Anolis sagrei: one gene and its partners. Each later gene encodes a partner of the first gene's protein in a complex. Links are inferred from orthologs where the notes say so. Each region holds a gene or a part of one and is shown in the gene's direction. Other genes may lie near its edges. The genes, in order: NUDT21, CPSF7 and CPSF6.

What was found.
Region 2: the proteins of NUDT21 (region 1) and CPSF7 are in contact, whole or in part, in a crystal structure (PDB 3N9U), measured with the Homo sapiens proteins. The link is inferred for Anolis sagrei from reciprocal best matches to the Homo sapiens genes NUDT21 and CPSF7. Residues at the interface, in NP_008937.1 of Homo sapiens: Arg68, Asn152, Glu154, Pro156, Tyr158, Tyr160, Pro162, Ala163, His164, Ile165, Thr166, Lys167; in NP_001129512.1 of Homo sapiens: Trp91, Trp92, Thr93, Thr94, Asp95, Gln96, Glu112, Lys114, Phe115, Glu117, Asn118, Arg119, Ala120, Asn121, Gly122, Gln123, Ser124.
Region 3: the proteins of NUDT21 (region 1) and CPSF6 are in contact, whole or in part, in a crystal structure (PDB 3P5T), measured with the Homo sapiens proteins. The link is inferred for Anolis sagrei from reciprocal best matches to the Homo sapiens genes NUDT21 and CPSF6. Residues at the interface, in NP_008937.1 of Homo sapiens: Pro151, Asn152, Glu154, Pro156, Tyr158, Tyr160, Pro162, Ala163, His164, Ile165, Thr166, Lys167; in NP_008938.2 of Homo sapiens: Trp90, Trp91, Thr92, Thr93, Asp94, Glu95, Lys113, Phe114, Glu116, Asn117, Arg118, Ala119, Asn120, Gly121, Gln122, Ser123.

The regions. Positions count from the first base shown.
Region 1 is NC_090028.1:6,633,648-6,637,399, forward strand, and holds the start of NUDT21 (cleavage and polyadenylation specificity factor subunit 5), read left to right. Parts: upstream 1-923; 5' UTR 924-1,029; coding exon 1,030-1,145; intron 1,146-3,752. UniProt on the Homo sapiens protein: Component of the cleavage factor Im (CFIm) complex that functions as an activator of the pre-mRNA 3'-end cleavage and polyadenylation processing required for the maturation of pre-mRNA into functional mRNAs.
Region 2 is NC_090021.1:236,184,952-236,188,703, reverse strand, and holds the start of CPSF7 (cleavage and polyadenylation specificity factor subunit 7), read left to right. Parts: upstream 1-1,390; 5' UTR 1,391-1,468; intron 1,469-1,477; exon of another isoform or gene 1,478-1,596; intron 1,597-3,194; 5' UTR 3,195-3,241; coding exon 3,242-3,295; intron 3,296-3,752. Other genes in the region: SDHAF2 (succinate dehydrogenase assembly factor 2, mitochondrial), read right to left, coding at 1,249-1,269.
Region 3 is NC_090025.1:143,242,178-143,245,929, forward strand, and holds the start of CPSF6 (cleavage and polyadenylation specificity factor subunit 6), read left to right. Parts: upstream 1-880; 5' UTR 881-934; coding exon 935-994; intron 995-3,752. UniProt on the Homo sapiens protein: Component of the cleavage factor Im (CFIm) complex that functions as an activator of the pre-mRNA 3'-end cleavage and polyadenylation processing required for the maturation of pre-mRNA into functional mRNAs.

The DNA.
Region 1 (3,752 bases):
AGCCAATAGGAATGGAGTACAGCCCGCCTCTCGCATTTTCATTGGCTTCGCCGCGGTAACAGGCAATAGGAATGAGAGGTTGCCAAAAGGAGAGATGCCGGCGGTATAGCAACCAATGGGAATTAAGTACCGATTCCAGACAGCCTATAGGAATGGAGTACAGCCCGCCTCGCGCGTTTTCATTGGCTGCGCCGCGGTAACAGGCAATAGGAATGAGAGGTTGCCAAAAGGAGAGATACCGGCGCTATAGCAACCAATGGGAATTAAGTACCGATTCCTGACAGCCAATAGGAATAGATTACAGCCCGCCTCATGCGTTTTCATTGGCTCCGCCGCGGTAACAGGCAATAGGAATGAAAAGTTGCCAAAAGGAGAGATGGCGGCGCTATAGCAACCAATGAGAATTAAGTACTGATTCCTGACAGCCAATAGGAATAGAGTACAGCCCGCCTCGCGCGTTTTCATTGGCTGTGCCGCGGGAGGCAGTACCGATTCTTGACTGCCAATAGGAGTAGCGTACAGCCCGCCTCACGTGTTTTCATTGGCTGCGCCGCGGTAACAGGCAATAGGAATGAAAGGTTGCTAAAAGGAGAGATGCCGGCGCTATAGCAACCAATGGGAACTAAGTATCGATTCCTGACGGCCAATAGGAATGGAGTACAGCCCGCCTTGCGCGTTTTCATTGGCTGTGCCGCGGGAGACTGTATCAATCCTTGACAGCCAATAGGAGTAGAGCTCAGCCCGCCTCGCGCGTTCCGATTGGCTGCGCGTCCATGAGAGGGTAAAGGTTGGTGCTTATCGACTCAAAGGAGTCCGTAGTATTGATTCCTGACAGCCAATAGGAAGAGAGCTCAGCCCGCCGCACGCGCTCTGATTGGCTGCGTGGCGCGCGCGAGTGTAAAGGAAAGCGGGAATGGCCTCTTCGCCGGAAGTGCGGCCTAGTCTTCCGGCGCGGCCTTTGGCGGGGTGGCTAAGGCTTGGTGGGGGATGCCGGTGTCTTCCTGAGCCTCCGCCGCGTGGGCCTCCATTATGTCCGTCGTGCCGCCCAACCGCTCCCAGACCGGCTGGCCCCGAGGGGTGAACCAGTTCGGGAACAAGTACATCCAGCAGAGCAAGCCCCTCACCCTCGAGAGGACCATCAACCTGTGAGTCGGGCCTTCAATCCGACGGGGTGGGTGGGGAAGAGGGCCTAGGCTGGGACAGCTCATTGCATAATGCTACTGCTGGAAACACACACACACACACATATATGTATATGCACACACACACGTTGATATATGTCTATCTATACACACATACACAAATGCACATATTAACCCACACTCACAAATATATCTACATAAGGTTGTTGTAGGTTTTTTCGGGCTATATGGCCATGTTCTAGAGGCATTTTCTCCTGACGTTTCGCCCCCATCTATGGCAAGCATCCTCAGAGGTAGTGAGGTCTGTTGGAAATAGGAAAATGGGTTTATATATCTGTGGAATGACCAGGGTGGGACAAAGGACTCTTGTCTGCTGGAGCGAGGTGTGAATGTTTCAACTGACCACCTTGATTAGCATTCAATGGCCTAGAAGCGCCTGGGGGGAATCTTTTGTTTAGAGTGATTTCATGTGCCTGTTTGTTTCCCCTCTGCCTGAACATCAAGCAAAAAGTGGGCACTAGAAACAACATCATACGAAAGCTGACTGGCACAACCTGGGGATCACAACCAGACACAGTGAAGACATCTGCCCTTGCGCTATGATGCCCAGTGTGGAACACATCTCACCACGCTAAAACAGTAGATGTGGCTCTTAATGAGACATGCCGCATTATCACGGGGTGTCTGTGCCCTACACCACTGGAGAAATTACACTGCTTAGCCGGTATTGCACCACCTGACGTCTGCCGGGAAGTAGCAGCCAATAGTGAAAGGACCAAGGCGGAGACATCTCCAGCTCATCCCCTGTTTGGTTATCAGCCAGCACGCCAATGACTTAAATCTAGACATAGTTTTCTAAGATCTACAGAGACACTCGCTGGAACACCTCAGCAAGCGAGAGCCCAAAAGTGGCAGGCCCAAACCCAGCACCTCAACCAATGGCTGATACCCAATGAAAGACTCCCCCCTGGGCACACAGAAGACTGGGCAACTTGGAAGGCACTGAACAGACTGCGCTCTGGCACCACGAGATGCAGAGCCAACCTTCAGAAATGGGGCTACAAAGTGGAATCCTTGGCATGCGAGTGTGGAGAAAAGCAAACCACTGACCACCTGCTGCAATGCAACCTGAGCCCTGCCACATGCACAATGGAGGACCTTCTTGCAGCAACACTGGAAGCACTCCAAGTGGCCAGATACTGGTCAAAGGACATTTAACCAACTACCAAACTCACAAGATGTGTATTTTTCTGTCTGTTTGCTTTGTTCTGTTAGAAATGTAATATATAATGGACTGGTTGCTCTGACACGACAAATAAAAACCCCTGACAGATGGCCATCCAGCCTCTGCTTAAAAGCTTCCAAAAAAGGAGCCTCCACCACACTCCGGGGCAGAGAGTTCCACTGCTGAATGGCTCTCACAGTCAGGAAGTTCCTCCTCATGTTCAGATAGAATCTCCTCTCTTGTAGTTTGAAGCCATTGCTCCATTGCGTCCTAGTCTCCAGGGAAGCAGAAAACAAGCTTGCTCCCTCCTCCCTGTGGCTTCCTCTCACATATTTATACATGGCTATCATGTCTCTTCTCAGCCTTCTCTTCTTCAGGCTAAACATGCCCAGCTCTTTAAGCCGCTCCTCATAGGGCTTGTTCTCATAGGGCTTGTATATGCCTAGCTGTCTATTTATATGAGTCCCCTTCGGGGTGAGAAGGGTTGCTACCCCTCCATCTTTAATATTTAATGCTAATATTGTACTATGCTGATAATATAATATATTGTATGTATATATATCTTGTAAGCTGCTCTGAGTCCTCTTCGGGGAGAGAAGGGCGGCATAGAAATGTCGTAAATAAATAAATATACAATCATACATATATGCATATATTAAAATCCTCACCCACAAATATATATACATATATAGAGACATATATACATATGCATGAATCTGTATACGCATATACAAAACATATACAAACATATATATCTGCATACACATATACATATGAATATGCACATATATACACACACACACATATAGACATATGTGTACTTTTGCATATATATACAAAAACACAAATATGCCCACATACATATATGCGCATACACACATATAGAGACATAGAGATTTATGGAGACATGCATGCACCTGAGTTGGAAGAGACCTCATGGGCGGCATAGAAATGTCGTAAATAAATAAATATACAATTATACATATATGCATATATTAAAATCCCCACCCACAAATATACCTACATATATAGAGACATATATATATACACACACACACACACACACACATTCCATGTGCTGGGAATTATAGTTCGCCTACAATCAAAGGAGCCCCCGGTGGCGCAGTGGGTTAAAGCACTGAGGTGCTGAGCTTGTTGACCAAAAAGGTCGCAGGTTCAATTCCAGGGAGCGGCGTGAGCTTCCGCTATCAGCCCTAGATTCTGCCAACCTAGCAGTTTGAAAACATGCAAATGTGAGTAGATCAATAGGTACCGCTCCAGCGGGAAGGTAACGGCGCTCCATGCGGTCATGCTGGCCACATGACCTTTCAGGTGTCTATGGACAACGCTGGCTCTTCAGCTTAGAAATGGAGAGGAGCACCACA
Region 2 (3,752 bases), on another chromosome or scaffold:
GATGCTTGCCATAGATGCAGGTGAAAGGTCAGGAGAGAATGCCTCTAGAACATGGCCACATAGCCCGAAAATCCTACAACAATCCAGTGATTCCAGCCATGAAAGCCTTCGACAATACAATTATTTATTTGTTTATTTACAGTATTTGTATACCGCTTTTCTCACCCTGACAGGGACTCAAAGCGGTTTACGCATAAGTAATGGCAAAAATTCAATGTCAGTACAAACAATTACAATGATATACTACAACTAGCTGTCCCCTGCCACGCGTTGCTGTGGCCTAGTCTGTTGATCTGGAAAATAAAGTAATGAGAAAGTGTTGGTTTCCAATATATGTAATTTATTTCTGCTTGTGGGTAAACAGTATTTTTTGTTGTTTCTTTGCCAGTGTTGATGTGGAGATTGTCTGGTTTGCCTACTCTGGAACATGCAACATATCACTGTCCTTCTTTAGGGGTCCCTTTCAAATCTATGATACTATATCTGTGTGTGTGTGTGTGTGTGTGTGTGTGAATCATATATATTTATCTATATCTATGGCTGGATGGCTCTTTGTCAGGAGGACTTTGATTATGTTTTCTTGCCCTGATGAAGGGAGTTGGATTGGATGGCCTTAAGTATTTTCTGTTGGTCTTGGGGGTTCTGTGTGGGAAGTTTGCCCCAATTCTGTCGTTGGTGGGGTTCAGGATGCTCTTTGATTGTAGGGGAAGTATAAACTACAACTCACAAATGTCAAGGTCTATTTTCCCCAAACTCCATCTGTGTTCATGTCTGGGCATATGGAATATTTGTGCCAAGTTTGGTCCAGATCCATCATTGTTTGAGTCCACAGTGCTCTCTGGATGTAGGTGAACTACAACTTCCAAACTCAAAAAAACAAAAAACCAATGAACGAAATGTCAATGGCCACCAAATCCTTCTGGTGTTTTGTGCTGGTCATGGGAGACCTGTGTGCCACGTTTGGTTCAATTCCATCATTGGTGGAGATTGTAAGTAAACTATAAATCCCAGCAACTCCAACTCCCAAATGACAAAATCATAAATTTTTGAGTGATGGTCACTCCTTGTGTTGTGAGACGTTTTGTTGCCAAATTTGGTGTGATTTCGTTCATTGGTTCTTTTGTTTTTAAGGAACTCATTATGCACAGAGCATTTATATATATATAGATTAGACATTAATCAAATTAAAAAAAATACATCCATGAGCAATCAAACAATAAAACACCGGGCTTGGTCCAGCTTACTCACCCGAACTGACAGCGCCGCCATCTTGGCGCCTTCCCCGGCCGCTCTAGCCCTCCCTCTTGAGCATAAAGAGAGGCGAGCGCAGCCGGAAAGCCGACAGTGGTGATGGGGTTGCGCGCGCCGGGCCGGAAGAGGCGGGCCTTCCTGGAAGGAAGGGAGGGCGGAAGGGGCGGGGCGGCGGCGGCAGCAGGAGGCGCTCACGGAGAGAGGGAGCCAGAGTGAGGTTCGCGCACACGGCCGCTTGCGTCTCGGGCCTGCTGGGGATCCTGGGCCTTGCGTAACGGGCGCGGCGGCGGCGGCGGCGGTGAAGGAGGAGGAGGCGCAGGAGGCGGCCGCGCGGGAGGGGATGAGGTGCCGGCTCCGAGGGGTCGGAGGCGGCGGCGGTGGGAGGTTTCCCTGGGAGCGCGGGAAAAAAAGGAGGCCATGACTGGAGGGAGCGGGAGTGCGCGCGCAGCTATGGCGGCCTCGGCGGCGGCGGCTTGCAAGTGGGAGTAGCGGCGGGAGGAGGAGGAGGAGGAAGGGGGCCTGCTCGGCCTCTTCGCCCCTCCATTCCCTTCCCGCGCCCCCGCTTCCTTCCCCTCCGGGCCGCGCGGCTGAGCGGAGGGGGCGGGGCCGGCGCTGGGCCCTCAGCCTCCCGGGCCCGCCTTCCTCCCGGAATCGTTGTCCGACGGTGGCCGGGGAACTTCATGAGACCCAAGGGCCATCCAATCCAGCCTCCTCCTGCCACACAATTAAAGCACCCCCAACAGATAGCCACCCAGCCTCTACATATGCCTCCACCACACCCTGCGGCGGCAGCGTATTCCACTTTTACCGTCAGGAAGTTGTTCATAATGTTTAGGTGGAGTTAATTTCCCCGCAAGTTGAGTCCATTGCTCCCTTGCGTCCTGGTCTCCAGGGCAGCAGAAAACAAACTTGGTTCCTCCTCAGTGTGACATCCATTCAAATATTTGAACATGACTATTTGTCTCCTCTCAACCTTCTTTTCTCCAAGCTAAAGATACCCAATTCCTTCGGCTGCTCCTCATTGGTCTTGGCTTCCAAACCATTGATCATTGAACATGACCATACATCCCGAAAAACTTACAGCAACCTATTGATCATTTTAGTTTCCCTTCTCTGGATGCATTTTAGCATCTTGGTATCTTCCTTGAATTGTGATGCCCAGAATTGGAGACATCATTCCAGGCGAGATCTGACCAAAGCAGAATAGGTTCTGGCCCAGCTTACTTGTCCGAACGCATCTCCCTCTACATCCCGCCTCACAGTTTAAGATCATCCAGGGAGGACCTGCTCTTGCCCCTGCCAGCATGGCAAATACGGCAGGGACAAGAGACAGGGCCTTCTCGGCTGTGGCCCCCCACCTGTGGAACTCACTTCCCACCGAAGTTTCATCCCTCCTGTCTTTCAGGGTTGTGGTTCTGGGACCAGGCTTTTGGACAACAGACATAGATAGCAGTTTAATATGGAATTTGACTGGAATGACTATATGGCTGTTAATACTGTTTTTATTGTTTTTATGAATGTTCTATTTATTGTTTTTAATTGTTATTATATTGCTTTGTTATATGTAGTGGCATCGAATTGCTGCCAAATGTAAGCCGTCCTGAGCCCCCCTTCAGGGGTTGAGAAGGAACGAGGTAGAAATACTGGAAATAAATAAATAGAGTGGGACTATGCATTTGGTAGAGGTGGTGATGTGTGTTCCTCTTAGTCCTCGATCTCCAGCTGTGGTTCTCAACCTGTGGGTTCCCAGATGGTTTGCTCTACAACTCCCAGAAAACCCAGCCAGTTTACAAACTCTTCAGATTTCTGGGAGTTGAAGACCAAAACATTTGCGGTCCAACAGGTTGAGAACCACTGATCTAGATACGATGATCCTATTGATGCTGCCTAGAATTGTGTTGGCCTTTTGAGCACTAACTCTCCTCCTCTTCTCCCCTGCACAGTGTGCAGCTCTGCCTCCCCTGTTCTCCTCAGAGGCGCTCCTGAAAATATGTCGGAAGGAGTGGACCTCATAGATATCTACGCCGACGAGGAGTTCAACCAGGTGAGCCCCTGCCAAATGGGAGCGAGGGAGAGAAGGAAGGAAAGAAAGAAGGAAAATTTGCCATATTCAGAATCAACTGAAATTTCAAACAATACTGAGGACTTGTCTACAATAATCATTTAATGCAGTTCAAAGCTACCTTCAAACTTTAGTGATCAGACAACAAAAACCCACAAAACTTCATGAAAGAAAGCCCTTAATGTTCATCTGTGCTAATTGCCATTTGGACCTCAAACTGGTTTCATGAGTTCCTATTTAACCACGTTTCTCAATACAAATTTGAAACTGCATTAAATGATATTTGTAGATTCGCCCCAAGATTGGCTACATTTGCCTAAGAGCATAAAAATAGTTAATTGGTTCTTGGGAGAGTTCGAGCTTGATTTATCCTGGGACCCAGTGATTTATCTTTTTCATAGTCCTTGGCATCAATAGAAGACTTCTCAAGCACCACATT
Region 3 (3,752 bases), on another chromosome or scaffold:
AAAGTGGCAGGCTCAAACCCAGAACCTCAACCAATGGCTGATACCAAATGAGAGACTCCCCTCTGGGCACACAGAAAACTGGGCGACTTGGAAGGCATTGAACAGACTGCGCTCTGGCACTACAAGATGCAGAGCCAACCTCAAGAAATGGGGCCACAAAGTGGAATCCATGACATGCGAGTGCGCAGAAGAGCAAACCACAAACTACCTACTGCAATGCAACCTGAGCCCTGCCACATGCACAATGGAGGACCTTCTTGCAGCAACACCAGAGGAACCCCAAGTGCTCAAAGGACATTTAATCAACTACCAAACTTGCAAATTATGTGTTTTGTCTGTTTGTTTTGTTCTGTTAGAAATGTAATACAATTGACTGGTTGCCCTGACACGACAAATAAATAAACTCTGGCCCAGAGCGGCCACAGGCCTTTAGCTTCCTCTGTCAAAGGCGGCTGGAGCCTTGTCAAAGACAACCCCTAGGTTTCCATCCGTACCATTGAGGCATAGCAGTTACAAGGGTTATCAAACGCCATTCAATCTGCAGTGCACTGAGAGAGAGGGGCGGGTTAGAACCAAAGGCCACCAATGGCGCCCTTTCCTTCCTAACTGCGCGCGCGCTTCCCAACGGAGGGGGGAGGAGGGGGGAGAGATTTGCCTCAAGGGGCGTGGCTACACGCGGGGTTCGATTCAGAGCGAGCTGCGCGAGGGAAAGAAGGAGGGGGCACATAAAGAGCGGAGTACTCCAAGGCCTGCCTTAGCGGAAGCTGCTGTGTTCGCTCCCGGAAGTGACGCGGAGCCCCTCCAAGCGCCCCCCTCCCTCTCGCTCGCTTGCGGCAGCTGTGGTGTCGGGCGAGCGGGCGGGTCTGGCGGCTGCAGGAGCGGCGGCGCAGGGCGGGCGGGGGGAAGGAGGAGGAGGAGGAGGTGGCGGCGGAATATGGCGGACGGCGTGGACCACATAGATATCTACGCCGACGTAGGAGAGGAGTTTAACCAGGTAAGGCGGCTTGGGGCGCTGCTAGGCCGCGCGGGCTCAGGCGGAGCGGAGGCCTCTTTGCCGCCATTGGGCGCCATTCCTGCCGCTGCCTGTGAAGAGGGCCTGAGGGGGAGAGCGCGCGGGAGGGGGCGCGGCCTAGCGTGGAGGGAGGGAGGGAGGCCCTGCGCGGCCTGCCAGGAACAACAATGGGGCCCGGCGCGGCTCGCTCGCTTTCTCTCGGCCCCCTTTCTCTCCTCCTTTGTCGTCGAATCCACTGCCTTGCCTGGCTTGTTGTGGCCCGCTCCCCCGGGGCAAAGGCAGGCAGCAACACAACACCTCTCTCTCTCCAAACGAGGCCTCTCCAGAGGATGGAGGAGCGTTTCTCGGGGCCCCGCCGGGAGTGTGTGAAACGGCTTCCCGTAAAAGGTGGCTGTTTAGGGCAGGGCTGCTTCAATTTTACCCATGCACGACCCCTTTTCTCCCGAGAAATTAAATACGTGACCAAGGTACATAAATAATAAAATCTATAAAAATAAAAATGTAATGTTCGTTCGTAACTCAAAAACCACAGGACGGATTGACACCAAATTTGTACACAATATACTTATCAGGCCAACGAGTGATCATCACCGATAAAACACAGCAAGCTAGACTTAAAAACAAAAAATACATTTCAAGGCATGCACAAAACCACACACACACACATATATACACACACAACACACATAAACACAGACTGGGCCACAGCAACGCGTGGCGGGGATGGCTAGTCTATATAAATAAAAATGTAATGTTCGTTTGTGGGATTGACATAACTCAAAAACCACAGGACAGATTGACACCAAATTTGGACACAATATACTTATCAGGCCAACGAGTGATCATCACCGATAAAACACAGCAAGCTAGACTTAAAAACAAAAAATACATTACAAGGCATGCGCAAAACTAAACACACATATATGCAAGCAGACATATACAAATATGCGCATACATATAAACATATATACACACACAACACACGTAAACACAGACTGGGCCACAGCAACGCGTGGCAGGGGGTGGCTAGTCTATATAAATAAAAATGTAATGTTCATTTGTGGGATTAACAGAACTCAAAAACCACTGGACGAATTGACACCAGATTTGGACACAATACACCTATGAGGCCAACGAGTGACCATTACTCTTAAAACCATTGAGAAACATAGCAGATAAGACTGTAAAAGCCAAAAAAACCCAAAAAATACATTACAGCGCATGCGGAAAACCACGTAGAATCATAGAGTTGGAAGAGATCTCATGGGCCTTCCAGTCCAACCTCCTGCCAAGAAGCAGGAATATTGCATTCAAAGCACCCCTGACAGATGGCCATCTAGCCTCTGTTTATATACACACACATATGCATATATATACACACAAAACACGTACACAGAAAGGAGGAAGGAACGAAGGAAAGAAAGAAAGGTAGAGAAGGAATGAAGGAGAGAAGGAAATAAAAAAGTGAAAGAAGGAAGGAAAGAGAGGGAAGAAAGGACAGAAGGAAGGAACCAGACAAGGAAGGATGGAACCAAAGAGCAAAGGCCGTGAGGAAAGAAACAGGTAGAGAAGGAAGAAAGAAGAAGGGAAGGAGAGAAAGAGGGAGGGAAGATTGGCCACAGCAACATGTAGCGGATACAGCTAGTAAGTATTAAAAATCAAAGATTTTACAGATAAAATCAGCATTCTCAAGGCATGCTAAACGGGCTGATGTTCCTGTTTAGGAAGTACAGCAGAAGCATTTTCTGTAAACATGGCTCGTTATTGCTAACATTTAAGTAAATAAATGGCATTTACACAATATTTTACTGTTGCCTCTTTTTTGTGACTCCAACATTGAGCTAAATCTGTGGTTTTGAATTATGACAATTGTAATGTTGTCTTATGGAGATAACTACCAGCCAATATCCTAGTAATTGTTAAGTGAACACTTACTACAGTAGAGTCTCGCTTATCCAACATAAACAGGCCGGCAGAACGTTGGATAAGCAGAGATATTGGATAATAAGCAGGGATGAAGGAAAAACCTATTAAATGTCAAATTACATTACAATTTTACAAGCACCAAAAAAAATGTTTTTCCAAAAATCAACAGAAAAAGCAGTTCAGTACACAGTAATGTTATGTCATAATTACTGTATTTATGAATTTAGCACCAAAACAGACAAGGATTCTTTATTTCTCCCACCCTGGATATTATTCCGGGCGGGAGGCAGACTGCATTGGATAATACAAAATGTTGGATGAGCAAAGGTTGGATAACCGAGGCATTACTGTATTTCCCTCTTAAAGTAGAGGTAAAGGTTTCCCCTGACATTAGGTCTAGTCCTGTCCCACTCGGGGGGGGGGGGTGGTGGTGGTGGTGGTGGTGCTGCTGCTGCTCATCTCCATTTCTAAGCCAGAGCCAGTGTTGTCTGTAGACATCTCCTAGGTCATGTGGCCAGCAAGACTACATGGAGCACTGTTACCTTTCCGCAGAAGCAGTACCTATTGCTCTATTCACATTGGCATGTTTTCAAATTGCTAGGTAGGCAGAAGCTGGGGCTAATAGCGGGATCTCACCCCACTCTGGATTTGAACGGCCAACTTTCAGTCAGCAAGTTCAGCAGCTCAGCGGTTTAACCCACTGCTCCACCAGGTGGTTGTTGTTGTTCATTCATTCAGTCATTTCTGACTCTTTTTGTGACCTCATGGACCAGCCCACGCCAGAGCTCCCTGTCGGCCATCACCACCCCCATCT